2 linked regions of the Notamacropus eugenii genome follow. The protein of the gene in region 1 purifies or fractionates together with the protein of each later gene. This does not show direct contact. Links are inferred from orthologs where the notes say so. Each region holds a gene or a part of one and is shown on either strand. Other genes may lie near its edges. The genes, in order: PPP1R15A and EIF2S1.

Region 1 (15,073 bases):
GTTCTTGGCTGTCTCCTCCATCAGCCTCCTCCAGAGCCGGTCCTGCCCGCAAAGCTTAGTGAGGAGCGCCTGCGGGCCAAAAGGGGCCAGGCCTAGGTCAGAAGTGGCTCTCTCTTCTCAGAACCCGCCCGAGGAGGTGCAGGGCTCTGTCCCACCCGCACCTTGGCCACCTCCGCTGCTCAAGGCCCCCGGGACTCACGTCGGTATCCTCGCTTCGGTGCAGTGGGGAATCCAGCGCTGGGCCCAACGGCTGCGGGAGAGGGGGTTGCTGCAAAGGGAACCATATAAGTTCCTGCCTTTGGGACTCCACCGGCCAGCCTCTTCAGGGGGGAGCGGGAGGGGAGACACCTACCAGAGAGGCTGAGGAGCCCCGACTCCCTGGGGGTCTGGGGGCCAACTGCAGATATCCAGGCCCTGCCTGCGGAGACATTAGGAAAGTATGGGGGGTGGTGTTCAGAGTACCGTTCAGCACTGAGATTTTGAAGGCAAAGTCCCCAGGAGACACAGTGCCTAGTCCAAAGAAAGGGGCATCCTCCAGTTATTGGTTTCTACAGGGCAGGCAGGCTTACTAAGCACTTTTCTAGTCACAATTTGGGGAGTAAGGGAAGACAGGGTGGTCCCCAGGTATCTTCCTCCTTTCAAAGGTAAGAAAACTGAGATTCAGGGAGATGGCCACGGTCACTGTAACTGTGAGAGAACCTTGGGGGTGGAGGATGTAGGGGGAATGTCTGGGCCAGCTTCACAAGTTGAGAGAGCCTCAGGATTTCCTGACTCCACATCAAGGGAAGGGCTCTTTCTTCTCTCCAGAAGGCCCTACAACAGCCCTCACTCCCACTGAGGCAAACTAGCTACAATGCCCTAGAACTTCTGAAAGCCATGGGTGGTAAGAGAACACCATAAGCATCTATGGCCTTCCTCAGCTGGAGGCTCACAATGGCCTAAAATCTCCATAATGTCTTAATAAGAATGGTCATCAGCCAGCCAACTGGACTGACTGGCAGACTTTCCCCTTCCACATGTGACTACACAGGTCTGACCATGGACTACACAGGTTGTTAGTAGGGTAACCTAGGTAGGCCTGAAGCCTCATGAATGATGTAGTTCTCCTGTCTGCTAGGGTCACTCACCTTGGCCCTGAGTTCAGTGGCCCAGTGGTGGGGGCTCCTGGGAGGTCTCGGTGCCCCTGTCTCTGATGGTGGTGCCCGTCGGGGAGTGGAGGGCCTGGACAGGGTTCTTGAGGCTGGGGCCCACTCAGATAAGGGTCGGACATCGATCCGACTCAGTGGGGTATGGGGCCGGGTATCTCCCCCAACCAGAGCAGAGGGACGGTGGGCAGGGGCTGAGCGTGGCCGGGGAAGGCCCAGGGGTGATGGGGGCCTGGAGAGGGGAGAAAACAGCCTAAGGGAGAAGAGGAAGGAGGTTTCCTGAGATTGGGCCCCTTCCTCTCCAAACATCCCACCCCCATACAGATACACACTCACTCTGGACTCCTTGCCCTTTGTCTGCTCCTCTGGGGTGGCTCCATAAGCCCAGGTGGAGGGCTAGGAGTGAGTTCCCTGTGTCTCCCAGAGATCCTGGCCACCTCCAGGGATTCGGCACTGCGACCCTCTTCACTGCTTCCTACTTCAGGTGGTCCCCCAGGACCCCCAGGGCCTTCTCCAACTGAGGGTCTGGCAGGTGGGGTCTGAGGGCCGCTGCAGGGAGAGAAAAGGCAGACAGAGAGGACTGGGCTAGGGCTCACTCAAGAGCATTCCCAGGAATCCAGGGCTTCTCAGCACCTGCTGCAGTCATCTGGTTAGGTACTCGCCCCCTCAGCCCCCCATCCCTATGTTCAAGAATCCTCAGTGGCTTTCCATTGCTCCTCAGCCTGGCCCTGGACACCAGAGGACAAGAGGATCCTTCCAGGCTTAGCTCCTCTGCGTTTCGGTTGAACTGACCACTAGGCGGCGCAGCGGATAGGGCACTGGGCATGAGTCTGGAGGACCCGATCTCAACCTGCCTCTGACCCTGCCTGCCTCAGTTTCCTCATCTGTTAATGGCACCTGTGTTTTGAGGGGCTGCTTTGAAAACCTCAAAGTGCTCTCTCTACAAATGCTGGCTCGCTATCATCATTACTGTTCTTGTCTGAGTTCTGCCTTGGACAGAAGCGGGAAGTGATTCCTTCAAGTGCTGACTGCCAGGCAGGTGCTTTGGTGACATTCTGCTGGGGGAGGGGCAACAGCCAGGACTGGCAGTCTGAAGGAGGAGACAGGGCTGGAGCAGAGCCTTGGAGGAAGTCGGGGGTTCCATTCAGGAGAGGAGAGAGAGCCTTCCAGTGGCAGAGGACAGAGGCTGGCGAGAGGGACAGTGTGCACACACATGTCCACAAACATGCGCACATGCTTGTACATGTGTGCACATACACATATACACAAATACACTCATACACACATGTACACAGTTGATGCTCATATGCACTCATGTGCACACACTCACATACACTGCCAAAAATACATGCACACACGCACAATTCACACACATACGCATACATGTATGCACAATGCATGGACACACATGCTCACAATCACACTCATACACCCACTCATACCTGCACACATACATGCCATCACATGGACACCCTCATACACCTGTTCCCACACATGCACACATACATGAATGCACACGTATTCTTCCCTCTTTTCCACCTGTAGCTCTACGTGTTCTTCTCCTCCAGGGCAGTGACTAGCTTGCTTTCTTATGTTTATATCACCAGCCCTTAGTAGGACACCTGGCACATTGTCAGGCAGGTTTCTCCATTTGTTCATTCAGACTGAGACTCAGGTGGCTAAGTGACCTGTCCAGGATCATATTAAGTCTATTAAGTCTCAGATGTGAGATTTGAACTCAGGTCTCTGGTGACTCCAAGACCAGAGTAGTTACCACTATAAGCAGCAGCTTCTCTGAGAGAGCCTGGGGCAGTGGTAAGAAGACAGGGTCTAGTGTCTGAGGTCCTGGGTTCACATGCTTACTACCTGTGTGACCTTAGGCAGATTCTTCCATTAACTTCCTCGGGCTGGAGGAGATGGCCGCTGAGGTGGTTTTAGCTCTACATCTCTGATTCTTGGATTCTTGGGCAGGGGGCAGCTAGATTGTGCCATAGTGCACAGAGCACTGGGCATGGGATCAGGAAGCCCTGAGCTCAAATGCGACTTCATACACTTACATACAGTAGCTGTGTGACCCTGGGCAAGTCACTTCACCCAGTTTGCCTCAGTTTCTTCAACTGTAAAATGAGCTGGAGAAGGAAATGGCAAGAAAACCCCAGATGGGGTCAGGAAGAGTCAGACAGGGCTCAACAGCAACAACCAGCCTTAGACTGCTCCCCATTTTCCAGATGAGGAAGCTGGGGTGCAGTCAGGGACAGCCATAGAGGGGCTGGGATTCAAGTGGCGATAATCCTGCCCACACTTACTAGTCATCCCCTTCAGCTCGGGTGGCACGACCCAGAGCCCGCAGCCACCCGCGAAGGTCCTCCACCGTATCAGCGGCCAATACGTACGTTCTCATCCCAGGGTGCTCAGCCTGGGAAGGGAGGTGAGAAGGAGGGGGACATAAAGCTCAGGGAAGGAATTTTTGGGCCTGAAGGAGAAGGGCTGGCTGCCAGTTCTTGAGGGGGGGGGGGGGGTCAGTAAATAAGCATTGATCTGGTTCTCTTTGCCAGACCGATGTACTGGGTCCTGGGGCTGTGTGCTGACAGTCCCTGCTCTTAAGCAGCTTATGTGTGTGTAGGGGGGAGACATGCACAGAGCCAGCAGATTACAGAGAATAGAAGGTAAGGGGGAGGGGCAGGGAGGCACTAGCAGCTGGAGCAGTGGATACCAGGGTCCCCGAGGGGTTCTAGGGGGGAGAGGACACCAGGATCATCTCTAACTCACAGTGAAAGTGTAGCGGCGCCCCCGGGGGGCCCCAGGGCCATCTGGACGGACACTGTAGCTGGGGAGAGGGACACTGCCCAGGACACTCTCCTCCCGGCTGTCTGCAAGGGAGTCAAGGATCAGCGGTCACTGGGGAAGGTTTCTCTATCCCCATTCCAACCCATCCTTTGGACACTGACCCTTGTAATAGAAGAGGCAGTGGCCAGACAGGACAAACCAGCGCCGCTTCCAGAGCCGGAGGCCAGAGCTGTCCTGGGAGAGAGACCAGAGACACCTGAGTGCCCTGAGACAGGTGAAACCTCAGGAGGATGAGGTGGGAGTACAGTGAGACAGGCAGAGAGGAACCTGGGGATAGGGAGACAGAGGGACAGGGGGATGGGGAGACAGAAAGACATGGAGGGGACGGAGATGAGAGACAGTGAGACAAGAAGACACAGAGACACAGAGACAGGGACGGAGGACCAGGGCGAACAGTCATATTTTTAGAACCTGAGACCAGAGCTGTTTTGACAAATATTGGCAAGACCTGAGCATGTACCAGGAAATGGAGATGAGGTGAAGGGAAATAGAGTCGTGGAGGGTCACAGAGACAGAGCCAGCAAGACAGCAAAGATTGGGGGCAACCTCGGCAGCAAAGAGTGACAGTCACGGAGCAAGTGAAAGCTGGGGTCCCTCTGCAGCCAGTAACAGGGCATGCAACACAGTGCAGAGCCTAGGGAGGTGACAGACGAGGGACAGGCAGGGGCCCTAGCCCCACAGTACCTGCTTATGCAGCCAGCCTCGAATGTCCACAGGCAGGTTGGGGTCTCTGCGGAGGGAGCTTCCCCTTTTCCCAAAGGCATGGATCCGGCTGACTGCCCGAGGGGGCTAGAGGAGAGAGAGGCAGGAAAGGGACTGCCTGGGGGCACAGGGAAACCTCAGACCTGGAAGGGCTCCACTGTAGGGGAGGGAGGCACTTCTCATTCTCTTCCCTTCCCCTCATTGCGGCGGCGGGAGGGGGGGGGGGGGCGTGGTCCAGGACCGAGTGACTGCTCTACTGGCAGGGCAGGCTTAGGGTCCTGGCCAAGAGGAGTTGTAGGTGGGCAGAAACCCCAGATCTCATTCCATTCATTCAGTCCAATTCAAGGAGGCTTTATTAAAAGTGGCAGGCACCGTACTGGGAATAGAGACAGGCCTAAGGTAGTACTTGTCCTCAGGAAGCTCACCTCCTCTTTTAGTCCTGCTCCCCAGGAGCAGATGCCCTAAACTATTAGGATTTCAGAGGAAGCACGGGCAGAGCGACTCAAAGAGTAAGGAAAGAATATGAAAAGGAGGAATTGGGGGCTCTTTTCAAGAGCTGGGCACCCCCAGCACCTGGCTTGGGAAGGAATTGGGCCAGGGGACAGTCTCACACTCTGAGGTATTGGGTGTTTTCATGGCCCAGCTGCTGGTCCCTCTCCAGACCTTGGGAGCCCAAACCTTGACACAGGGAGAGGGAGGTCCACCAGCCCACCTTCTCCCCACCCCACCTCAGCCACCTGCATCACCTTGGTGCTGAGGCTGATGGAGGAGACAGTGGAGACACTGCTGGCCATGCTGAGGCTGCTCCGGGGCCTGCTTTCCTCCATGTTGGGGAGCCACTTGAAGAAGAAGAAGAAGATTGAGAGAGGTTCAGGAGGAGGAGGAGCCCAGGCAGGGTCAGTGACCCCAGCAGTGGGGAGGATAAGGAGAAAAGCCTCCTTGTGTGAGATATACAGAGTAGGGGGAGAGTTGGGGGCTGGGGGAGGCCTTGGCCCCCTGCCACATACCAAGAGGCAGTGCCAGGGGGTGGGCGGCTACAGCAGCTGCTAGGGGGGAAGCCAGAGAAAAGAGGCCTCTTTATGTCCAGACCACCCCCCCTTCAGGCCAAGAATCTGCCCCTCCCTTCATGCTTAGAGATCCACATCGCCTTCCCACCCCTTAGTCTGGCTGCCCTTGTAACTCCATCCTTCTTCAACCCCCAGTCCTGATCAAACATACCAACCCCCCCCCTCCCCAATTGTAGGAAGGAACCCAAGCATACCTGTGTCCCCCCTCCCCCAGGTCTAGAAACCTACCAGGCCCTCCAGATGAAGGAAGTGGGATCAGCACAGATCCAAGAGCACAGCTGGGTGTTCCTTCTTCAGTTCCCAAGTGCTCTCACTCCCAAGTGGCTCACCCTTCCTCAGCCTCTCTCTGCCTCCTGTCTCTTTCCTTTTATTTGTCTCTCACTGTCTCTCTGAATTTCTTTCGCTCTCTCTGTTTCTGTCACTCCCTGTGTGCCTCTCTGTGCATCTGTCTCTTCTCTCTCTGTCTCTTCCTGTTTTTCTTTCTCTGTCACTTGCTGGCTTTTCTTCTCCTTGTTTCTCTATTCTCCATCCACTTATCTCCTCCTCTCTCTCTCTCTCTCTCTGTCTCTCTCTGTCTCCCTCTCTTTCTCTGTCTCTCTCTCCCTGTCTGTCTCTCTCTGTTTCTGTCTCTCTCTCTCTTTGTCTGTCTGTCTCTCTCTCCCTGTCTCTCTGTCTCTCTCTGTTTCTGTCTCTCTCTCTTTGTCTGTCTGTTTCTCTCTGTCTCTCTCTGTTTCTGTCTCTCTTTCTTTGTCTGTCTGTCTCTCTCTTTGTCTGTCTGTCTCTCTCTCCCTGTCCCTCTGTTTCTCTCTCTCTCTCTTTGTCTGTCTGTTTCTCTCTGTTTCTGTCTCTCTCTCTCTCTTTGTCTGTCTGTCTCTCTCTCCCTGTCTCTCTGTCTCTCTCTGTTTCTGTCTCTCTCTCTTTGTCTGTCTGTTTCTCTCTGTTTCTGTCTCTCTTTCTTTGTCTGTCTGTCTGTCTCTCTCTTTGTCTGTCTCTCTCTCCCTGTCTCTCTGTTTCTCTCTCTCTCTCTTTGTCTGTCTGTTTCTCTCTGTTTCTGTCTCTCTTTCTTTGTCTGTCTGTCTCTCTCTCTCTCTGTCTGTCTGTCTCTCTCTCCCTCTCTCTCTCTCTCTTTCTCTCCCCCCCCTTCCCCTACTATTCCTCCTCTGTCTTTCTATGCCTCCCTCTCTCTCAGTCCCGGGTTCAGTCTCTCTCTCTCTCTCTAACTCTGGATTTCGGGATCAGCCTGCCCATACCTTCCTGTCTCCCTCGGTCTCTCTCCGCTCTCTGGACCTCTCCCTTTCTCTACAGTAGGTCCGTGTCTCTCCCTTGTTCCTCAACTCCTCCACCCACGCTCTTCCCTCCCTCTGGCCGGCCCCTCCCCTCCCTTGACCCCGAGGCTCCTCGGCCCCCACAGCTGTCTGGGTGGGACTCAAGGGGCTCCGCACAAGTCTCCTGGGTCCCCGAGAGTAAAAGGACTGGGGAGTCAGACCCCAGGCTGGCTGAAAGGAAGCATGCAGCCCGGCTGGCACGGGCAGGGGGGCTGGGGGCGGGGTGCAGGAGAAGGCTTGACCAGAAGGTTGCCCTGGACAGGCTGTCCTCCAGGATTGTTGACTGACTGACTGACCGACTCGGGGAGGAGGTTATACAGGTTCAGCCAGAAGGCTGGGCGCTGTGCTGTGACATTAATGGGATCCGAGGGATTAGGAGGGGAACCCGCCTGCTCAGGCCCCCCCGCCCCAGGTGCGGCAGGGACGGCAGGCTCATCCCCTACGAGGGTGACAAGGGGCTAGGCGACCGAGCCGCGATCCAGAGGATGGCCGGGCGGGGCGGGGCTGCTCCGGACTGCTCTCGGAGGTTCCAGAGCCCTGAATCACCTCCTGGGCGCGGGATCCCCGGAGCACGGGACCATGACGTCATCGAGCTCCCTGATCGCCCCGCCCCTCCTATGACGTCAGCCCTAGGGGATCCGAGCGATTCCACTTAAGGAAACTCCGCTCGGGAGGGAGTGGCAGCCTTGCGTTCTTCGTTTTCCCCCGCGCCCCCCCTTGCCTGACGTTGGTAAACTCCGCTCCGTGACGTCAGCGCGTCGTATATAAGGACCCGAGGAGCCGTGTTTATTTCAGAGCCAACCTGACCGGAGAAGCAGGAGTACACAGAGAGACCGCGGAGCTCTGGCCGGACATCGAGCGCAGACGCCGAGCCTTTGGGGTCCCCGACAACATGAGCCCTAGCCCCAGCCCGCCGTGGACACCGCCGTGCCCGTGGACTCCTCCGCCGTGCCCGTGGACACCACCATGCCTGTGGACACCGCCATGCCCGTGCACGCCCTCGCTGCCCCCAGGATGACGCGCAGCCCGGACCCTGTGAGTCCCGTGGGGACGGGACGGACCGGAAAGGGAGCCGGGGCCCCGAGGGGCGGGACGGGAGGGGGCGCCTGGACCCCGAGGGGGCGGAACGGACCGGAAAGGGAGCCGGGGCCCCGAGGGGCGGGACGGGAGGGGGCGCCTGGACCCCGAGGGGGCGGGACGGGAGGGGGCGCCTGGACCCCGAGGGGGCGGGACGGGAGGGGGCGCCTGGACCCCGAGGGGGCGGGACGGACCGGAAAGGGAGCCGGGGCCCCGAGGGGCGGGGACGGGAGGGGGCGCCTGGACCCCGAGGGGGCGGGACGGGAGGGGGCGCCTGGACCCCGAGGGGGCGGGACGGGAGGGGGCGCCTGGACCCCGAGGGGGCGGGACGGACCGGAAAGGGAGCCGGGGCCCCGAGGGGCGGGACGGGAGGGGGCGCCTGGACCCCGAGGGGGCGGGACGGGAGGGGGCGCCTGGACCCCGAGGGGGCGGGACGGGAGGGGGCGCCTGGACCCCGAGGGGGCGGGACGGGAGGGGGCGCCTGGACCCCGAGGGGGCGGGACGGACCGGAAAGGGAGCCGGGGCCCCGAGGGGCGGGACGGGAGGGGGCGCCTGGACCCCGAGGGGGCGGGACGGGAGGGGGCGCCTGGACCCCGAGGGGGCGGGACGGACCGGAAAGGGAGCCGGGGCCCCGAGGGGCGGGACGGGAGGGGGCGCCTGGACCCCGAGGGGGCGGGACGGGAGGGGGCGCCTGGACCCCGAGGGGGCGGGACGGACCGGAAAGGGAGCCGGGGCCCCGAGGGGCGGGACGGGAGGGGGCGCCTGGACCCCGAGGGGGCGGGACGGGAGGGGGCGCCTGGACCCCGAGGGGAGGGACGGGAGGGGGCGCCTGGACCCCGAGGGGGCGGGACGGGAGGGGGCGCCTGGACCCTGAGGGGAGGGACGGGAGGGGGCGCCTGGACCCCGAGGGGGCGGGACGGACCGGAAAGGGAGCCGGGGCCCCGAGGGGACGGGACGGACCGGAAAGGGAGCCGGGGCCCCGAGGGGCGGGACGGGAGGGGGCGCCTGGACCCCGAGGGGAGGGACGGGAGGGGGCGCCTGGACCCCGAGGGGGCGGGACGGACCGGAAAGGGAGCCGGGGCCCCGAGGGGCGGGACGGGAGGGGGCGCCTGGACCCCGAGGGGAGGGACGGGAGGGGGCGCCTGGACCCCGAGGGGGCGGGACGGACCGGAAAGGGAGCCGGGGCCCCGAGGGGCGGGACGGGAGGGGGCGCCTGGACCCCGAGGGGAGGGACGGGAGGGGGCGCCTGGACCCCGAGGGGAGGGACAAGACTCCTCAGGGGACGGTATAGTGCAGGAAAGGGGTTTGGGACCTCTGAGGGGACAGGACTGGACGGGGGCAGGGGCATTAGGGGATAGGGAGCTGGGAACTTCAGAACGGAGAGGGAACGGGGGGCTCTCTGAGAAGATGAGGACCAGAAGGGTCCAGGGGGCCCTTGGATCCTCAAGGTGAGCAAGGAGAACTCCCAGCAGGGAGGGCAGGCAGGAAGGAAAAGGTTAAATATTATTAATGTGTGCTGGATGCCAGGTACTGTCCTAAGTGCTCTATAGGTACGGTCACAATTCTGAGAAGTGCTCTTATTCTCATTTTACAGCAAACAGAGGTTATGTGACTTGTCCAAAGTCTCACAGCCAGTAGGCTGCTGGAGGCTGGATTTAAACCTGGGTCTTCCTGACTGCAGCCGCTGAGCCTCCACTGCCTTGTAAGTGGTGCTTGAGGCTCTCAGAGGCTAGAAACGCCCGGGTAAAGCACACAGGTCTAGGTGAGGTAGTTGGTGCTTGTTCCTCGTTCTTGAAGAGGACCATGACATCAGGGAGGTGATGCCATGACATGCAAGTGAACTGATTTAAGTCATTAGGGTGACGGAGATGGCCCAGGATGTGGTAGGAAACCTTGGTCTTTTGCAAGTCTCAGTTTGACTGAGGCAACATCCATCTAGTGATGAGGGCTAGGTAAACAAAAATGAGACAAAGAACCTAGGCCAAAAAGAAAAAAATCGAAGTAGAAGGAGAAGACCCTCAGAGTTTCTGGCCAAAATAGAAACAATTCCTATTTTTACATTCACTCTGAGTCAATCAGAGTTCAAACAATGACTAAGTGGGGTTTGGCTTGGAACCTACTGTTGGCCAATCGGTGAAAAGCCAGAATGATTTGGGTTAAAGGCATGGTCCTGAAGAAAGAAATGTAGCCTGTATACCCCAAGATATCTTACAAAGATAGGAGAGCCAGAGTGATTTGGGGTTAAGACTAGCCTTTAAAAAAAAATCCAAAACTCTAGGGTAGGTGAAGGGTAACTGGTTAAAAGTGCTTAGGGCCACAAGGAATGGGACCTTAAGGAGAATAGTCAGGATTGGAAGTCTGGGTTGGCCAAATGCTTGGCTTTCTGTTTCTGTCCTGTGACTCATGCCAAGGGAAGTCTAATTTAGCCTGTTTGGTGCCTTCTTTTGCAGCCCAACTCTGACCTGGGACATAGTACTGGCATCTCCCTGGGAGCTTCCTTCAGGGGCAGCCTTTTTTCTGACATTCAGTTACTTTTGGCCTGGACCTGGTCCCAACTATGGAATGTGGGACTCCAGCCCAAGCCTAGAGGAGAAGCAAAGGATGTGAACCCTGAAGCTAGAACTGAGGAAGAAGAGGGCCCCTTCAATCAGGCCCCAGGACCTTGGCCTGAAGTCAGAAGAGCTCAGGCCAGCTCTAGCCTCCAGAACTGGGTTGGACAAGTGAGGAAAGAGGGTGACCAAGGAGTGGCTGAAGGCCCAGCAGACCTTGAGTCTGGAGAACAGAAGGTCCATGATGGAGCATCCAGGAGAGAAGAGCCTGGAAATAGGCCCACAGGTCTGGTCCAACGAGATGATGGGCAAGACAGGGAGCAAGCAGCGAGAGGCATCCTCATGCCTGGAGAGAACAAGGGGAATGAGAATGAAGAAGGAGAAGGGGTGGGAGATGAGATAATGCCTGAGGCTGAGCAAAGCCTCCCTTCCCTTGTGGACAGCTGCCCTCAGGGGCTCTGGCCTTTGGCCTGGCAGCTCAGAGAAGAGGCAGAGGAGAGGGGAATTGGGGGAGCTGAAGAAGGTGATGGCAAAGGAGGATCCAGCAGCCAGCCTCATCCTGTGCTCACCAGCCCCCTGCTCAGGGCCTGGGCCTACAGACCTGGAGAGGATGAAGGTGATGAGGATGAGGAAGATGTATCTGATGGGGAGGAGGGAGCAGCCAACCAGCCCCCTTCTCCTATGCTCACCAGCCCCCTGCTCAGGGCCTGGGCCTACAGACCTGGAGAGGATGAAGGTGATGAGGATGAGGAAGATGTATCTGATGGGGAGGAGGGAGCAGCCAACCAGCCCCCTCCTCCTATGCTCACCAGCCCCCTGCTCAGGGCCTGGGCCTACAGACCTGGAGAGGATGAAAGTGATGATGATGATGAGGATGATGTATCTGATGGGGAGGGGGGAGCAGCCAACCAGCCCCCTCCTCCTGTGCTCACCAGCCCCCTCCTCAGGGCCTGGGCCTACAGACCTGGAGAGGATGAAGGTGATGAGGATGAGGAAGATGTATCTGATGGGGAGGAGGGAGCAGCCAACCAGCCCCCTCCTCCTGTGCTCACCAGCCCCCTGCTCAGGGCCTGGGCCTATAGACCTGGAGAGGATGAAGGTGATGATGAGGATGAGGATGAGGATGATGTATCTGATGGGGAGGGGGGAGCAGCCAACCAGCCCCCTCCTCCTGTGCTCACCAGCCCCCTGCTCAGGGCCTGGGCCTGCAGACCTGGAGAGGAGAATGATGACCAAGAAGATGCTGAAGGAGCTGTGTGCAGGGCAGGCCCAGGGCTGCAGGTCTTCCGTGTTTCCATCTTTGTGCCTGGGGCTGAGCAGCCATCCCCCTGGCCCTCACCCCAGCTACCCCAGAGACTGAAGAAGCGCCTGAGGCCCCGACGGACCCCTGTGGAGCCAGAGCCAGAGTCCCCTCCAGGCAGGAAGGTGAGGACCCACCCTTCACAGGGGAGGCTGGGTAGATGGTAGCCAGGCAGGTCAGAGCTAGCTACAGCATCACAGATTTGTTTCAGTCCAGCTCAAGGGAGACATGGAGGCCCAGGGAGGTTAAGGACTTGCCCTGGGCCACACAACTTAATGGGATTTGAAACCAGGTCCTTGTGATTCTGGGGCCAGTGATGGGTCCCTTGGCCATTCAGGCTCTCTATGTCATATGAGTTTAGCAGAAGGTGGATGCAAGTGAAATTCAGATGCAGGTGCTGAGGCTGCTTTATTTACTAAAAATTTGTAAAGGGGCTTAGACCAATGCTTGGTACATAGTAGGTGCCTAATAAACACGGTTCCTTTCCCCTCCCCCTTTACTTTTGTCATTCCCCCAAAACCATGCGAAAGAGACCTGAGGACTAGTACCTTGCAAAACTAGTTAAGCAGAGGAGGGGGTGGGTGGGGAGGGGGCATGAAGGGCTGTCTGGAGCCCACTGTATCTGCCTCACTCACGCCATCCTCTGGCTGCCTCCTTCCAGGTCCGATTCTCCAGCACCGTGGGCCTTCATCTCCTGGCGGTATGGGCTGGGCCCGCCCGTGCTGCCCGCCGGGGTCCATGGGAGCAGCTGGCACGTGATCGGAGCCGCTTCGCTCGTCGTATCACCCAGGCCGAAGCCCACCTGGGCCCTTGCCTGTGCCCTGCTGCGCGGGCCCGAGCTTGGATGCGTCTCCAAGCATTGACCATTTCCCCTCAGTCTTCTTCCCAGGGTGGGGAGGGCCCCTACCCCAGCCCATAACTCATTCTAAATCAGCCTAGGCTTAGAACCCTAGAAAGAAGCCCGGATCCAGGCCTTGCTCAGCCTTCTCTCCCCCTTCCCTGCCTGTCAGTAGGCGGGTGGTATATGTGTGCAGAGCCTTCTTGAGGACTTATGGGTTATGAGTTAATTCCAGGAAGTCAGGGCTAATTGGTTACCCTTGTTTTATCCCTGATGCCTCACATAGTATACTTTTAATAAAGATTTGTTGAACATACTTGAATTTTCTTTATTTCTTTTATTAAAAATTTCACCAATCTCTGGGGTCTCCATCTCTGATCACTTTTCCCCAAAACTCAAACCTCCAAGGGAGTCCAGCTGGTGGAAATGAAGAACTGGGCCACAGGCAGGTTGGCTTTGGGGCCAGGGTTGGGTGAGGACTTGGGGGTTCCCTAGAGATTGGATCTCCTCAGCTTTCTAGTTTGGTGCCTGGAGCTGGGTCCCAGGACACATCCTCTGATGGTCCTTCATTTGCTTTATCCCCTAGGTTTTGGAGAAGAGATTTGTGACCATATGTCCATGATAAATGGCCCACTTAAAATTGGAACTCTGAATTGGTCATTGGGGGCTGGGGAGGGGAGAGGGCTGGCCTCATAGGAGCACACACTTGAAAGAGACCCCAGACAGAGGTTCTTTAGGTCCTCCACTAAACACTTTTAGTAGAACCAGGATCCCCTCTCCACAATACCTGCTGGACCCCAGCTGACTCCTCCAACAGTATCTTGTACTCACTAGGAACTCCCCCCAAACACCCAGCTTGTATGTATGGTCTCTGCAAATCCCTCTGGCTCCCTTCCCTTCTGCAGCCCCTCCAAGCCTTTGGAGCACACAAAAATACCTAATCTCTTCCACAGGAACCTCCAGTATATGGTCCCTGAGCTTCCTTTCTCCTGGCCAACTGTTTCTATTTCCATCAGCTAATCCTCACGAACTGATCGATCTCAAGACCCTTCCCCCTTCTGATGGCCTGTTTTAGGGTACTGCAGTTTATTAATGTAGTGCTCACAGCTGAAGACACAATGACCCCAAGACCGTGACAGAGCCAAGAAAACAATGGGTTTGGGGCCAGAGGTCTGGGTTTGCATCAGACAGCTGTATAACCTGGGGCCAATCGCTCCCCGTCTCTGGGCCTCAGTTTCCTCTCAAGTAAAACCAGGCAGGCCATTGTACTAGGCAGCTTCTGGGTAGCAGGCTGTGGAAAGGCTGGCTGTCCCAAACACTGAGGATGCTCAAGCCGTCTTCCTCCTCTCTCCGTTAAACCGCCCGGGCCCTGGAGAAGTGGGTAGCTGGAGGGACTCTTGACTCCCAGATATGGCTGGGCTGCAACCTTACCGAGAGACTCCGACAATTGGGAGTCCTTCGGTGTTTCCGCGGCGTTCGGCAAAGGCTAGGACTACAACTCCCAGAAGCGCCCTGGGCCGATTTTGCGGAGAGAGCCCTTGTTTTGGCCTCGAGGGCTGCTGGGAGCTGTAGTCCGCCTAGGTGCTCCCGGGAGGTGCACGCCACAGGTTTGTGGGGAAAGAGGCTGGCCACTCCTGAGTCAGCGCCGAAAGGGAGCCTGTGGGGCGGAGCTGCCGCCCTGGGTTCCTTTCCCCTTTCCTGTCTCCATGGCAAAGGCATAAGATGGAGTAGAGGATGGCAGTGGCTGCGGTCAGCTTCCCTCTCTCCCCTCCTCCCCTTAGCCATCTGCTGTGCCCAACCCCCATTTCCGCACAGCACCTGCCCGGAGCCTGCCTGGTCCAGGCTTCTCCTCATCCTTAGCGCTCGTGCCTCTGGGACTCAGGAGTCCCTCAGGCCGAAGTATCCTCCTCGGGCCCTTAACCTCGGAGGCGTCCTCCCCCAAACTCTTCGCTTAAGGGATTGCCTTCAGTTCTTTCCTTTCAGAAACCCACGCGGTTCCCAGTCTCCTTAGCCCTCGGACCTAAGCGCCGGGTGGCGCTTGGGTCCTCTTCTTCCCTGTCCGGAATTGTGCCGGTGACGGCTCCAGGGGCACAGTTTGAGGACTGCTTGGGCAGATATGTGGACCAAAGACAGGAAGTAAGTCTTTATTGAGCGCCTACTGTGTGGCAGGCACTGTGGTAAATTATCTTATGTGATCTTCTCAACAACCTTGAGAAGTAGGCG
Region 2 (14,574 bases), on another chromosome or scaffold:
AATCTGCAATTTGTACCTATGAAAGTCTCTCCCATTCTGAGAAAGACACCTCATTAGGTCCTAACATCCCCTCTATCATCCCTTTCTCAGAAATTACTTTTTAAAAGTTATCTATCTCAACCATCTGAAATCTGACTTCCAATCTTGTAACAGATTATTCTCTCCAAAGTCACCAATGATCTCTTGATAGCCAAAACTAACGGTCTTGTAGAAATCTTTCTCTTCTTTGCTCTTTCTGCAGTGCGTGATAGTGTTAACAATGTATTCCTCCTGGATCTTCTCTTTTCTTTGGGTTTTTGTGACACTATTCTTTCTTAGTTCTCTTTCTACCAACAGGACCACTTTTTCTCAAGTCTCCTTTTACTGGGTCATTTCATTTATGTTGGGCCTGTTCTCTCTTTTCCCTATTATGTCTTTCTAGGTGATCAGATCATCTCCCATAGGTTTGATTTTCATCGCTATGCAGATGACTCCCAGAACTATATATGCAGGCCTTGTGTCTTTACAGGGCTCCAGGTTCAACCTCACTACTCCATACTTACCTGACATCTTGAACTGGAAAGCTTGATATTTTAAACAACACATTCAAAAGTGAATTCATTACCTATGTCCTCAAACCAAACATCTTTTGAATCATCCTATTTCTATCTAGAACGCCACTATCCTTCTAGTTACCCAGGTTCCCAACCATGCTGCCACTTTCTACTTCACTCTTTCCTTCCCCCACACACTAATAAGTTGCTAAATCATACTGTTTCTACTCCAATATTTCTCGTACTTGTCTCCTCCTTTCTACTCACTACATAGCACATGGGGCAACTAGGCGGTGCAGTGAATAAAGTATTGGCCCTGGAGTTAGGAAGACCTGAGTTTAAATCTGGCCTCAGACACTTACTAGTTGTTGTGACCCTGGGCAAGTCACTTCAAGCAGCTTGCCTCAGTTTCCTCATATGTAAAATGAGCTGGAGAAGGAAAGAGCAAACTACTCCAGTATTTTTGCCAAGAAAACCCAAATGGGGTCACAAAGAGTAGGACACAATTGTACAACACAAGAGTTCAGGCCCTTATCTTACCTAGACTATTGCAATAGCCACCTAATTAGTCTCCCTACTTTAAGTTTTTCTCTTTTCCAAACTATCCTCTACACTGATGCAAAAATGATTTTCCTAGAACAGTTTTCATCATGTTATTCTACTCAAAAAACTTCAGTGGTTCCTTATTACTTCTAGGATAAAGCAGCAACTCCTGTCACCTTCACAAACTGACTCTATCCTAACCTTTTGGTCTGATTACACATTATTTCCCTCCACACACACAAACCTTCTTACTGTTTCTCATACACTGGTGCTCCATCTCCATAGCGCCTGTGATGTTTGCCTTTGCACAGGCTGAACTCCTTACTTCTCTTGCGTTACTTTCTATATAAAGTCTTTCCTCACTTCTCCAGCTGCTAGTTAGTACTTTCCCCCCAAATCATTGTTTACTTATTTTGTAAATAATGACGTGTACATGCTGTATCCTCTTGCTTAGAATATGAGGTTTTCATGCTTAATGTCATTTGACTGCTTTAACATTCATCATTACCACATCTTCTAAACTACCCAACCGATATTTATCAAGTACCTACCAGCTGCAAGGCAATGGGAATACATAGGCGAAAAACCAGGATAGTGCCACGCAAGAGCTTAGGAACTATATGAAATGTATGCAGAAGTATAAAGATGGAGTGATGATGAATGCAAAGGAAAGATGCAGGTAATTTTCTTGGAAAATATGAGTATAGAGAAATCATTTTTAGTTGGCTCAATCAGGGAAGACATCATGGATTTAGTGTCAGCTATTTCTTTGTGGAAAGAAGATAGGGATGAAAATGCAGGCATGTGGGAATGATAAGGCAAGTTGTGATAGTGAATTCTATAATTCAGGCCTCCCATTCTTCAATTAAAATTGCCTTAATGTTTAGATGGAAGGGGAAGGTTATTAAAGGAGTCAAAGAAATATATCATAAAAGAGGGTTGATTAAGACACCCTAATTAAAAAAAAAAAGTATGCAACACTTTTTACCTGAAGTAGACAATTTATAAAAATATTCAAAAGCCATGATTCCCACATTCAAAACAAGAACAATTTCCCATTTCATTTTTAACTTACCTTTCTCTTTGTCCACTCTAATAACAACCACACATTCATTTCTGCCAATTCGGATGAGTTTGTTAATGGAGCGGATACGTCTTCTAGACAGCTCACTAAGAAGAATCATGCCCTCAATGTTGTTGTATTCCAATAGGCTGACATAAGCTCCCATCTCAGCAATGGAACGTACATTCACCATTACCACATCTTCCACTTCAGGAAATTTGTGCTGGTAGAATCTACAGCTTAGACCTGGCATTCTGCAATGTGAAAGAACCAAAATTAATTATCATATGGAAGCCAACATAAAGTTTCTAAGTTTAAGATGTGAAATTTCTATATCTTGCCACCAAAAAGAAAAATGTGTTTCCTCTCTTATTTCCAAATTTTAACCATTTTCTGAGTAAGCACTGTCAAGAAACAAATTTTTATTTCTAATTTTGCTAAAGATTTTTGTGGCACGTAGGTGTGTCTTTACCATTAGTTTCAAGGAGATATTGTAAAAAATAATTAGTGTCTGTAAAACATTGAGAACTAAGGATGAAAGGTACTGCTTAGTAGTAAAGTACTATAATACTCCCACTTTAAGCAATATCAAACCATGGGTAGGACAGTATTGTTATTATAAACATGCTGTAGTCTTTCAAAGCAGCAAAACCAGAACCACTCTTCCTTCAGAGCATATTATGTAATATACTTCGGAGTATATTATGTATGTATATACATATATATGCATAGATATTTAAATACATATTTTAAAAATCCAACCAAAAGACAACCCCTTCATCCCAGTCTTAATTTCTCTGAAAACAAGTGTTACTATGTATATTAAGAAGGAGGAAAAAGGGTTATGATAACATTATCATAAGCAAGGAACCAATTTCAGACACGTAGAAGGGCTATCTTAATTAAATGCCACAAAAAACAAATAAAAAAACCACATGCCACTTTTCCTTCCAACCTTTTGCCACTTGAATTTGTTCATACATCTACGTTGTGATCTTGCAGCCTCCTCTCACTTTTTTACACTCAATATCACAGATACAAGTCCCTTTCTCCAATTTTATTTTAAATACTGTCTTGCCTTCCACTTTTCTCATTACTCCTACTTAACTGTAAACACAAACCATGGTCCAAACCCCTCCCTTCCTAATATAACCAAGTTATTGTAAACATTTTTACTGAATAAGATTAATGTACTGCAGCTGCAATGTTTTCATCAGGCTTCTTCTCTAGTGAACCTGAGAGTGTATGCCTGAAGATAAGGACTAACTACTTGTTGAAGACATCTTCGTCCAGTTTGCAAGACTTGGGGCTAAAATCACGCAACCAAGTCACACATTCTATTCGGTGCAGTGAGAAGTCTCTTCCATATAATTCGCAAAATTTTCTTTGGCTGTCCTTTTATTCCTGTTTCTTGCAGCTGTTCACCCTGCCTTGCATAATGACATTTCCCTAATTCTTATGGCTTTTATTTTTCCATTCTGCTTCTTTCTCCTGAGAATTAGCATCAAGGGTTTCCAGAGTTTCCATTTTTGGATACTCTCTGGTTCTTATAGCAATACTTGTAAAACAGTAACTATCTCTGGGACTACTACTCTCCTGATAATATTTTCTATATTACTTTATTACTAACATCAATTGTAAGATGATAGACATTAGAGGAGATGCTGAAACCTTTGTACTCTCAATTCCCAATATTTCGAAGGTGATAGGGCTTCATAACCTCTTGCCTGAACAAAAGTCTCTCCCTCTCTAACCATCCTTCACATAACTGTCAAAATAACCTCCCCAATACACATGAACCATTCCACTTCCTTGCTCAAAAATTTTAAATGGATTTCAGGTTGACCGTTAAGGTCTTTCACAAATTGGCTCCACACTAATTTTCAAGCCTTATTTATTACTAATTTTCATGTTCTAGCCAAACTAGATTACAAGGTATTCCTGGTAATTAATAAGAATTCATGTAAGCCACATACACTTCCTCTTTACCTTTCTTAAAATCCTTTTCTTCCCAGCTTCAAGTGATTTCTCCCTCAAGTTTTCTTAAAAGTACTGTGTCTGGATCTTTCCTATGCTCCTATCCCCACTGTACCTTGCACACAAATTAGCTGTGTTCATGCTATATTCCCTAGAGCAGACTGGGGCATGGAAAGGTTAACTGATTTACCAAAGGTGACATAAATGTCAGAAGTAAGACTTTAATCCAGATCTTTCTGATTCCAAAGTCAGTCCTTTACCATACTGCCTATCACCTTGCATATGGTAGTAGTAGAATTTAAGTAATGGGGTGAGGATTCAAACTTAGGTTACCTTACTCTAAGTCCACTTATGGGTTTTCATTTACTACCACATGCTTCCTTCCTAAAATTAGGACTTCCTTTAAGATAGAATCGAACCAGTAACCTACAGATTCTCAATATTCTGCTTCTATAGTGCTCACTACCAAGTGAGCTACAAAAAAGAATAATAGTAGGATAAATTTCATAGCAGCTTTCTCCTGGCTAATATATCTGTTCTAGAATGTCAACAACAATCCTTAAATACAAAGGAATTTTGCTCCCTTCATAATTGTATAGTGACACAAGAAAAACACTACCAATTAATCTAATACAAAAACTGGAGACATCTCAAATAGGGAACAGCATTTTTTTTTTTACTCCACTTATCTGACTTCGACAAAAATCTGTGTTTTTACTACGAACAATTTTTCCCCCAATATCAACTCACTTTGGGAATTAATCCAGGTCTCTTTTTTTGCTGTGATTTTTCTGTCTCTTGCTGAAAGGTCTGCTCATTGATAAGGAGAAATCTATCTTCAGGTCAAACTTTTCCCATGTGTTTTCATATATTTTCAGGCCCCAAACTAGCAATATAAAAATGTACTTTAATCCTCTGAAAGTACGGACAAATGATTATTTTCCACTCTCCAATCTACTTGAAAACACCACAATCATCTCTATTTCATCACAATCCAATGAATGTGGGAACTTCCTCTACAATACAGAATGCAAGAAATCCATTACTTCAAAGTCCTAGGGAGTTCTCTGAAGCATAACAAGGCTAAGTGACTTTTGCTCAGAGGTCACAAAGGTAGTGTAGGAAAGTAAATGAACCCAAGTCTTCCTGAGTCTATGATCAGCAGTCTATCTATTTCACCACACGGCCTCTATTTATGAAATATGCTATTTTGTTACAGATAAAAGTTTGCTGCCTTACCAAATCCTACACAGATACTACTGCACATCAAACAACCTAATAAATTCTTTTGAATCAGAGAATTGTGATGCCTTGGCATTCAATGGCAGACTGGTTATTTTGGTCAATTCTGCCACTTAGTCTCGGGATCTTGGGAAAGTTGCTTAGCGAGCTTCTTTCTCTGAAAAATAGGGCTAATAATACTTTATAGGATTAGAGTATAGATCTGAAGATGATTTATAAGCTATGAGCACTATACAAGTTAACCCATCATAAAACAGATTAAGAAAAAAAAATTCCCAAATGGCTGAAATTAAGGTATTTTCATTTTTCAAATGGCAAAAAGTGATTAATGAGAAAATTCAAGGGAGAAAAAAGTTATCTTAGACATTCCTTTAAATTTAAAATGGAATTCAATCATCCATCATTTATTTAAGCTCTTATTACCTACAAAGCTTTAAAAAATGGTCTATCCCTTAGGAGTTTATGTCCTATCAGAAGTAGAAAGAACAGGAGGGGGAGGGAAAAAGGGGAAAGGAGAGAGAGAATGAGTGCCAATGTACAAAAAGTAACATGTACTATATAACTAGGGGCTAGACCTATGATTTTACTGATGTAAGGAAATCCTCTGCAACTAAGTTTTAGAGTTGCTTAGAACACCACGAGATTTTTAGTGGCTTGTTCACAGTAACAGTCAGCATGTGGCAGAGGTGAGACTTCAATTCAGGTTCCTGGGATCATGGGCCAATTTTCTATCCGCTGTGCTACTTACCCAAAATAAACTGCTAGCAATTTTCAGACAGGGGAAATAATCAATACCACATTTAAGAGGAGGACTTTCTCGGGAAAAATTTTAAGAGATCACAGAATGGAAACTGTGTGCAATTGTAAAAATGTCATTGTTGTGCTTAAAAACAAAACTGCAAATGCTACATTCTAGAATTCGAAAATCCCAGCACAGCCGACCAGATCCTCCCTCAAAGTCACTTCAGCTCCCTGAGCCAGTTTTTCATCTGACCCGGAGGTACTTCTCCGGTTTGAAACGCCTGATCCTAAAGGAAAAGAGTAACTTGTTTCTTCACCCCTCTTACTTCGAGGGTGAGCTCTATAAAACTCAAGGTGCCGTAGAATTAAACGGAGGCTCTGCAGGGGACCCCCAGACGGCTCGCTGGTTCCTTCACGCCCTTTCCAGGTGCTTTTCCACCAGCCCCTGGGTACTTTCAGACGCTGGACCGAGCAGCGCCCGGTTCTTCCAGGAGCACGGAGCCGGCGGCCTCGCTGCACGGCCCAGGGTCTGGCGTGGTCTTCAGGGCGGGCGAAGAAGGAAGGGCCCGGGAGGACTGGCGCACAAAGCCCGGAAGCCGGGCAGACCAGCAGACCCGGACGCCGGGGTCATCGTTCCGGGAGAGCCGGTAGCGTGCGGAGGGAGTGGGGGTGTCACAGAGCTCTCCAGACGCGGCGGCCACACCCCCCGCCGGGCCTTCCCCGGGAGCCCACGAGGCGAGGCGGCCGAGGCCGAGCCGTCTCCCCTCCCCTCCCTAAGCGGCCGCTTTCCACACGCCACGCCACGAGGCCAAGGCGGCTGCCGGTGCGTGGCGGGATGGGGCGGCTGCTTCCCGCGCGAGGAAGGGCCCAACGAGAGAGGATGGTAGGGGGTGGCCGGCCCGGGGCAGCCACTCGCTTGCCTTTCCTCGACCATGAGGAATGGGGGGGAGGCTTGAAAGGGAAGAAGGAGTCACCTGAAATACGCGTTTGAGGGTCCCGAACCGGGTCCCCGCGCTGCTCTCTACACTCCGGGAAATGCCCAGAACTCGGGCCGCACCAGAACCTGCTGCCGCTTCCTCTCAGCGTGTGTTGAGACCGGTCTTTCTGCGCCTGCGCGGTCACCCCTCACACTTGACGCAAGCGCCGACGTCGGCGAGGCCTGTTTTTTTCTCTATTTAACCATAGAGTATTAGTCTTCCCGGGAGGGAGGGGGCGCTAGGGAAGTGAGGGGGAGACTGCACACTTTGTCGCTTCCGCTTATTTTTCCCCGAGGATACCGCTCGGAACGGGCGTCAAAACCCGACTCCCTTTGCTGAATCAATGAACTGCTCCCAAACTCTTTCCGACAGTAAGGTGGCGCTGTGGGGAAAGTGGAAGCGGAAGCAGATGTGATGTCTTCTTCCCCCCTCCACTTCTTCACCCCTCCTTTTCACGCCGCTGGTCGTGCTTAGTGCACTCGCCGCGGGAGGAGGGGGAGAATTATAGGGGAGGGGTCGATGCAGGCGTGTAAAATTTATTTATTTTTTGGTTTCGAGGGGTGCGCGCCTTGTCACTAACATCCGGGCATTTCCTCCCTTCCCCTCATTTTCTCTCCCGCCCGCCCCCGGCAGTAGCGGACGGAACCGGAAAAGGTTTGCCCGAGGCCGCTTCCGCTTAGCCTGCGCCGAAGGTGATCAGGTGACCTTTTCCAGCTGACTGTATGAGGAGGAGGAGGTAGTGCAGGAGGCCATCGGCAGCGACCGGCGGCTTCGAAACCAGAGGTGACAGGCCCGGGGACCGAGCTGCCGCCACCATGTCTGGCAAAGACCGCATCGATATCTTCCCTTCGCGAATGTGAGTGGCCTTCGCCGGCTCTTAGTGCCCTCCTGCCCCCTCCGCATCGGTGCCGAGGTGCTTGATTTCTCAGGTTGCCCCCAGGGTCCTCCCCTTGAACCGTAGGACCCCTTTATTCCCACCCTCCGTATGCGATCCTCGGCGGGAGCGGGGCGTCCCGGCCCTGGGCCCCGAACTGCGCCTGCCCCAGGGCTGGCCTCTCGGGGTTCATTAAACCCCGCATGGTGGTAATATCTTGTGCTTGCGCTGCCCTACAAAGAGCTTAAATCACTTACACTTTCTTTTCTCTTGTCTAAGAATACGCCCAATAACTTGGCAGGGCCTCAGGGGAGCGTATTTTTTTTTCCTTTTCTGGTCCTTTTGACAGAAGGGCAAGAAAAGAAAAAAAGAAAAGCATAGAGTGGTGTAGTGGAAAGAATTCGGGATTTGGAGTAAACCACAGTTGTTCTTGTTTATGTTGTGGTCTTGGGTGGGTCACTTACCTCTCTGAGCCTCCAAGCGGTCTGCTCTGTGTGGGCCTCGCTTTAAGACTTAAGGTGACGAGCCTCTGCCGATTTTTCGGAGTACTTCCTTCATTGTGAGTTATAGGCCCTGTTAAAAACATATTTCTGGGGACTGAGGATATAAAGATAAAAATACTTCAAGGAGCTTGCATTTTGTTGTGGGAAGCTGCAGGTACACAAATAGGTATATAGGAATAAGAAGAAACTGAGATAAAGTATAAATGATTTTATGGATATAGGGAACTTTGAATGACTACGCCCCCTCAGCAATGCATAAAGGCATCTTCTGTGTCTTTACTTAGTTACAGGCATAGAGAGTTGCCTGGGATAGGTACCAGGAGGTAAAGTGACTTCCACATCGGCACAGTGTGTCAGACGGGACTTCATTTCACTCATTAACTCTTTAAGGTTTGTCTAGACACAAGGAATGGACACCTGCTGATACCCCTTTCCTACCCCCCCCCCCCCCAAAAAAGCACTGAGTAGAAATTCAGCCTCAAACACTTACTAGCTCTATGACCTTGGGGGAAGTCATTTGGTTTGCCTCAGTTTCCTTATCTGTAAAGTGGGGATGATAATATTCACTCCCTCCCAAGGTATTGTGAGGATCTAATGAGATAGTTTTGTTAAGGGTTTAGCACGGTTCCTGGCACAGAAGTAGACATTGCTTAAATGTTCATTGTTGTTACTATTATTTGAATCTAAGTCTTGATGTCTCTGAGGCTAGTTTTCTATCCAGTATGCCTAGCCTCCCCTTCTTTGTGTATAAAAAAGTAGATGTAGGCTACTTTGGGGAGAATTAGGAAAAAAACTTTTTCCTCGTGCTTGAACTAAGCTGTAAAGAAACTAGGAATTTTAAGTGTCTGAGGTAAAAAGGGAATACCTTCCAGGCTTGGTGAAATAGCCTGAACCGAGGAATGTTTTGTGTGAGGAAGTGCAGGAAGGCCAGTTTGACTGTGCCTGTCTAGAGTGCATAACCGGGAATCCGGTCTGGAAACACAGGTTGGAGTCAAGTTGTAAACGGCTTTAAATTTATATTGGGTCCTAGAGGCAATAGAGGCCTATAGGAGTTTCCTTATTCATAAAAGTACTAGCTGACTTTTGAGATCTTCCACCTCTGTTATATTGACCTATATTGCAAAGAATCCAAGCTAGAACTTGGGGCAGCTCAGCGGCCCAATAAATAGAGTACCAGGGTTGAAGTCAGGAAGACCTGAGTTCAAATTTGGACTCACTTACTAGTTGTCCCTGAGCTTTACCTTTGTTTGCCATAGCATAAAATTAGTATAACAGCAGCTACCTCAAATAGATGTTGTGGGGATCAAATGAGTTAATCATTGTAAAGCATGTAGCATGTCGCCTGACTTATAATAGTAAGCATTATGTAGTTGTTAGTTATTATCATTTATTATTACTGTTATTTTCTTGTGAGTAGCCTACTTATACCTTTCTTTCTATACTGTGGTGCGTGCTGGATTGATTTCACAGAATATTAAGACTGGAAAGGTGGAGGCCAAATAGTCAAGCTCATTTTACACATGAGGAGACTAAGAATCAGAGAGAGAGAGAACTGACTTGCTCAAGGTCACCCAAGTACAAAGTGGAATTGAGGATTCTTGATTTTGAGACCAGTGATCTTACAATACAGTTTTTGCCTACTCTTCTTGTGAATGAGATGACTTTTGACCAATACTTCCTTAAGTGCGTCCTTAAGAAGATATTAAATAGTAATTTTAGAAAGTTTCTTAAGATGCAAAAGTCAGAAAATGAAGTCCCTTCAAAGGCCAGAATAATAGCCTTGTTAAGAATGTGGGCTGTTTTCTGTTGGAGAAGAATATACTCTTGGCCACCCTTCTCAGAGAATTCTTTGTAATTACAACTACAGTGAATTATATCTGTCTTTCTTTTAGTTTCCAAACCATCTATATTTTTAACAGTTGTGACATGAAAATTGGCCTCTTCAGTTTTAGACTATGAATTGCTAGTTGTGTGAATGAGGAAATTACTGAATGATGTGTATGCATGTGGGCCTGCTGATGAGAAAAAGATTCAAATACAGGGGGTAATCTGTTGTCAGAACACATTAATTTTTCCAGGGGCTGGCAGCCGACATTTTGTCATGTAGTCAGATGTCTTTGATTCAGCTGGAAACAAAGCCATCATCGTGCAAGCTGATGACTACAGTTAAAAGTGGCAGTGCTGTGGAATTAAGAGATTTCATTTTAAAAATCTGGGCAGTTCAGAATAAAGAACTCCATGTACACATTTGTAACTCATTAGCAGAAATGGAAAGTAATGGGAAAATTGCTGGAGTTACAATCACTAGAGGTCTGGATAGAAGTCCCACCTCTTCAATTACTAACTGTAAGTGTTATGGGCAAGCTTTGTTTATCCAAACCTCAGTTTCTCCATCTGAAAAATGGGGAGTAATAACATTTGTGATGCTTTCTTCACAGATTTTTTATGAGATTGTATATATAAAACATCATAGATAGTATTAGCTATTCTTATGCGTTTCATCGTGTTGTGAAATCATGCTGCTGGTACTTTTACCCACTCTTGCCAGAAAAATAAAAACATTTAAAGTGTGCAGGATAATAATACAAGCTTATGAACATAACAGGTTGTGATCTAGAAGTTGTATTTCTTAGTTGTACTTCCAGAAAACTAATCTGTCAAAATGTTATAGTCCTGTGATACTCTTAATGTTATAGGAAATAGAATGAGTGAAATAAAGCATCTATCTATGATATTTAGAGTTAGAATGGACTTTAGGTGCACATTCCACCTCCCCATTTTATGGATAAAAATAATTATCATAACTGTTATTTATTAGTGTGAGTTATGTGTCAAGTACTGTGTTAAGTTTTTTTGTTTTTGTTTTTTTTTACAAATATTGTCACATTTGATCTTTACGGCAATGCTGGGAGGTCAGTACTATTATTATCCCCTTGAGGGGTTAAGTTATTTTCCTAAGATTACACACACTGCCTTTTATTGGTAGAGTCTAGATTTGAACCCAGAAACTCTCTATTCCAAATCCTGTGCTCTTTTCAGTATAATGGCCTAACCTGTATGCTCCAGTTAAGAAGGAATTCAGTTCAAAGTAAGGTCCTTTACTTAGAGGCAGGCTGAATTTGAAGAAAAATAGTAAAAAACTTAGAAAGTTTCTTGAATGTTTTTTAGGCTTTGGGCAAATTAGCTTTGGCTTTTAAGAAGCTCTAATAGAAGTTTATTTTGAGCAGCCTGAACTCCTCTTGATAATTGATAAAAGCAGTGCCTTAACCATTAGGAATTCAGTTTGCAAGAACACATTCTCTGTTTTGTACTTTTAAAATGCTGACTAGAGAAATTACTAGAGTTTATTGGAAAGCAAAAGAGTTTTCTTGTGCTAAGTATCTCACTTTCATCTCTTTCTGTCAATATTTGGTGCCCATCAAGTTACATCTAAAAAGAATACCCTCCACCTCCTACATCCATTACCTCATGATTCCCCTGCAGTCTGACTTTTGTCTCTCTTGTTGTGCTGAAAACTATACCTTTTCTCTGTCCCTGCCTTATGTAACATCTGATAAAAATAATTTCTCCTTGAAACTCTTGTTTATCTTGGTTAATAGACTCCAATAAACTACTTTAGAATTTGGTGAAAAAATAATTTTGCTAGATTGATCTGTGTTAAAACATGACTCTCAACAGTGACTGTAAGGCTACATTGTGGTTTCTATCAGAAGGTGAAATCATGTTTGAAATAGTTTTGACTCTGAATGTAAACAGGGTGGTTTGTGAATTTGTACACACTCAGATGGTTAAATCCTGCTCAGGCAAGAAACTGAACCAGTCCTGTTTGGCAGGACCTAATTCTGATCTAGTTCATGATCTAGTTCATTCATGGAGTTGGAAATTATGTCTAATTCTTTTAAAAGACAGAAATTTAAAAAAAAACTTAAATTATTCTCTTTATAGTGTAAAGAGATGGTGCCTCTCACCTCTAATTTATGAAGTTCAAATTCTCATATTTACTCAAGAACTTAGCCTCTGGCATTTTTCTTTTAGTGTCATTGATTATACCAGTCGCTGTTACCATTAAAGCTAATGATGATTCCAATGGTATTTCTGTTTGTATTTTTTTTTTTTTGAAAACCAGTAGAAGAAGAAAAAACATATATTTTGGATTCAGCATTTATGTCACATGCAACAGCTTAGGATCATTGATTTACAGCTAGACTGGACCTTAGAGGTCATCTAATCCAAGTCCAACTCTCCCTTACTTTATAAATGAGGTCATCTTGTGCAGCCCCCTAACTTTACAGATGAGGAGACTGAGACCCGGAGAAGGGAAGTGACTTGGCCAAGGTCATACAGGTATACCTTCTCTCATGAAACAATTTGAGTCCTTAGGTTTGATTAGATTGATTACTAATCTTGTATGTCATTGACCTTAATGATAAAACTTACTTTAAATGATAGCAAAGTTGGAATAATCATTTTTATTATTTTCTTTTAAACTAATACTTTGTTCTGAAGAAGAGAATGGGAAGGAAAATGTCATGTAATCTTAACTTCTTATTTAGGCAACTCCACATTTACTGTACATCTGTTAGCTTTTATAATAATAATAGCTCACATTTCTTTAGAACCTTAAAATTAAACATATTATATAATGTTTGGTATTCAGGGTCTTAAGTGAAGATCTCCAAGCACTCTGTGATCTGATTTTAAAAAATATATCTTTAGGCAATTGAAAATTTCGCACAGAAAACATAATTTATTGTACAAGTCACATCATTTAGACTAAGCTGGCTTTAAAAAACATTTACATTCCATTACAACTAGGCAGAACTAATTGCAGGTGCAAAAGGAGTATTTTCAGTTCTAATTTAGTTCTTTCTCCATTATAACTATGGCATGTTTACAGGCTGCATAGAAATATGGACCTATAGAGTTAGAAAAATCAATTAAACTTTCACATACAAGTGGTGAATAGTCTGCGTGGCAATCTTATTTAGATACTGTGGCATCAAAGTGGGGTAGAGTGTAATTTTGCTAATTTGTTTGGGAAATGTTTGTGCTTGATCTTGTTATCTTAGATGATATTAAGAATTTTGTATGACTATAATTATTTCTATTGAATTTAGGGCACAGACCATCATGAAGGCTCGATTAAAAGGTGCACAGACAGGCCGAAACCTCCTAAAGAAAAAATCTGATGCCTTGACTCTTCGTTTTCGGCAGATCTTAAAGAAGATCATTGAGGCAAGTATAGGTTTTACTCTTGATCAGAAGTTTGTTTTCACGAGAGTATGAAAATTCAGTATGATTGATTATGTTCTAAATTATTGTTAGTCTTGTTATTGTTTCCTGACTTAAATATCTCACTTTTCATTAGAAAGAGAAAGAGTAGAGGGAAAGAAAACAAAAGGTCAGTTTTGCTTACTAGTGATTGGAAAATGGTTTGAGAAAAAGGTATATTGACACATCAAATTTCTTATCCTTGTATGTACTACATTAATGTAGTTAAATTTGAAGGTTGGTGGTTCATAAAATTCATGCTTCTACCTTGTCTCAGTAAAGCACTGGGGACTGTGGATATGGAATTTAGTATACACTATCAAATATAATTTCTGTCAATTGACTTGGCTTAATCGTTTTGTTTTTAACATGGAGGACCTTAATAGGAAATGACCATGATGTAAAAATACAGCAATAAAACAATTTTTTAAAATTTCATTTTTCTCTGACATCTCTGGTGGTGTAAACCAAACATCTGACGCTAAAATGTGAATAAATCTTTTGGCCCTGATGTTATTACATTGATAACACAGAATTCATGGCATTATAGAGCACCAAGCTGGTAGCATGGCGCAGTGTGGAAAAACCAACGTGATCAGATTTCCGACTCTGTCGCTATGATTACTACCATTGTAGTAACTGAACAGATGACCAGCTCCTGGCCTTTGTCTGGACTAAGTGACCCCTAGGGTCTCTTTCCACTCTGACCTTATTAAAGAGTAAGTCTTGCCTATAAGCAACTTAGTTTTGTCCATTTTTGATTTGTATTCTTGACAGACCAAAATGCTGATGGGTGAAGTGATGCGAGAAGCTGCTTTCTCACTTGCGGAAGCCAAATTCACAGCTGGTG

What was found.
Region 2: the proteins of PPP1R15A (region 1) and EIF2S1 purify together in Homo sapiens (affinity purification with western blotting; 4 studies listed by BioGRID and IntAct, with this or other methods). This does not show direct contact. The link is inferred for Notamacropus eugenii from reciprocal best matches to the Homo sapiens genes PPP1R15A and EIF2S1.

What each region holds. Positions count from the first base shown.
Region 1 is NC_092876.1:12,626,922-12,641,994, reverse strand, and holds PPP1R15A (protein phosphatase 1 regulatory subunit 15A), read left to right. Parts: upstream 1-7,883; 5' UTR 7,884-8,052; coding exon 8,053-8,121; intron 8,122-10,613; coding exon 10,614-12,137; intron 12,138-12,673; coding exon 12,674-12,931; 3' UTR 12,932-13,166; downstream 13,167-15,073. Other genes in the region: PLEKHA4 (pleckstrin homology domain-containing family A member 4), read right to left, coding at 1-69, 200-268, 353-418, 1,128-1,398, 1,482-1,694, 3,452-3,561, 3,915-4,015, 4,094-4,166 and 2 more. UniProt on the Homo sapiens protein: Recruits the serine/threonine-protein phosphatase PPP1CA to prevents excessive phosphorylation of the translation initiation factor eIF-2A/EIF2S1, thereby reversing the shut-off of protein synthesis initiated by stress-inducible kinases and facilitating recovery of cells from stress.
Region 2 is NC_092872.1:312,852,562-312,867,135, forward strand, and holds the start of EIF2S1 (eukaryotic translation initiation factor 2 subunit 1), read right to left. Parts: upstream 7,269-14,574; 5' UTR 7,074-7,268; intron 6,923-7,073; coding exon of another isoform or gene 6,261-6,922; exon of another isoform or gene 6,258-6,260; intron 2,394-6,257; 5' UTR 2,393-2,393; coding exon 2,152-2,392; intron 1-2,151. Other genes in the region: uncharacterized protein, read left to right, coding at 6,261-6,922, 7,710-7,794; ATP6V1D (V-type proton ATPase subunit D), read left to right, coding at 7,892-7,932, 13,571-13,688, 14,502-14,574. UniProt on the Homo sapiens protein: Member of the eIF2 complex that functions in the early steps of protein synthesis by forming a ternary complex with GTP and initiator tRNA. This complex binds to a 40S ribosomal subunit, followed by mRNA binding to form a 43S pre-initiation complex (43S PIC).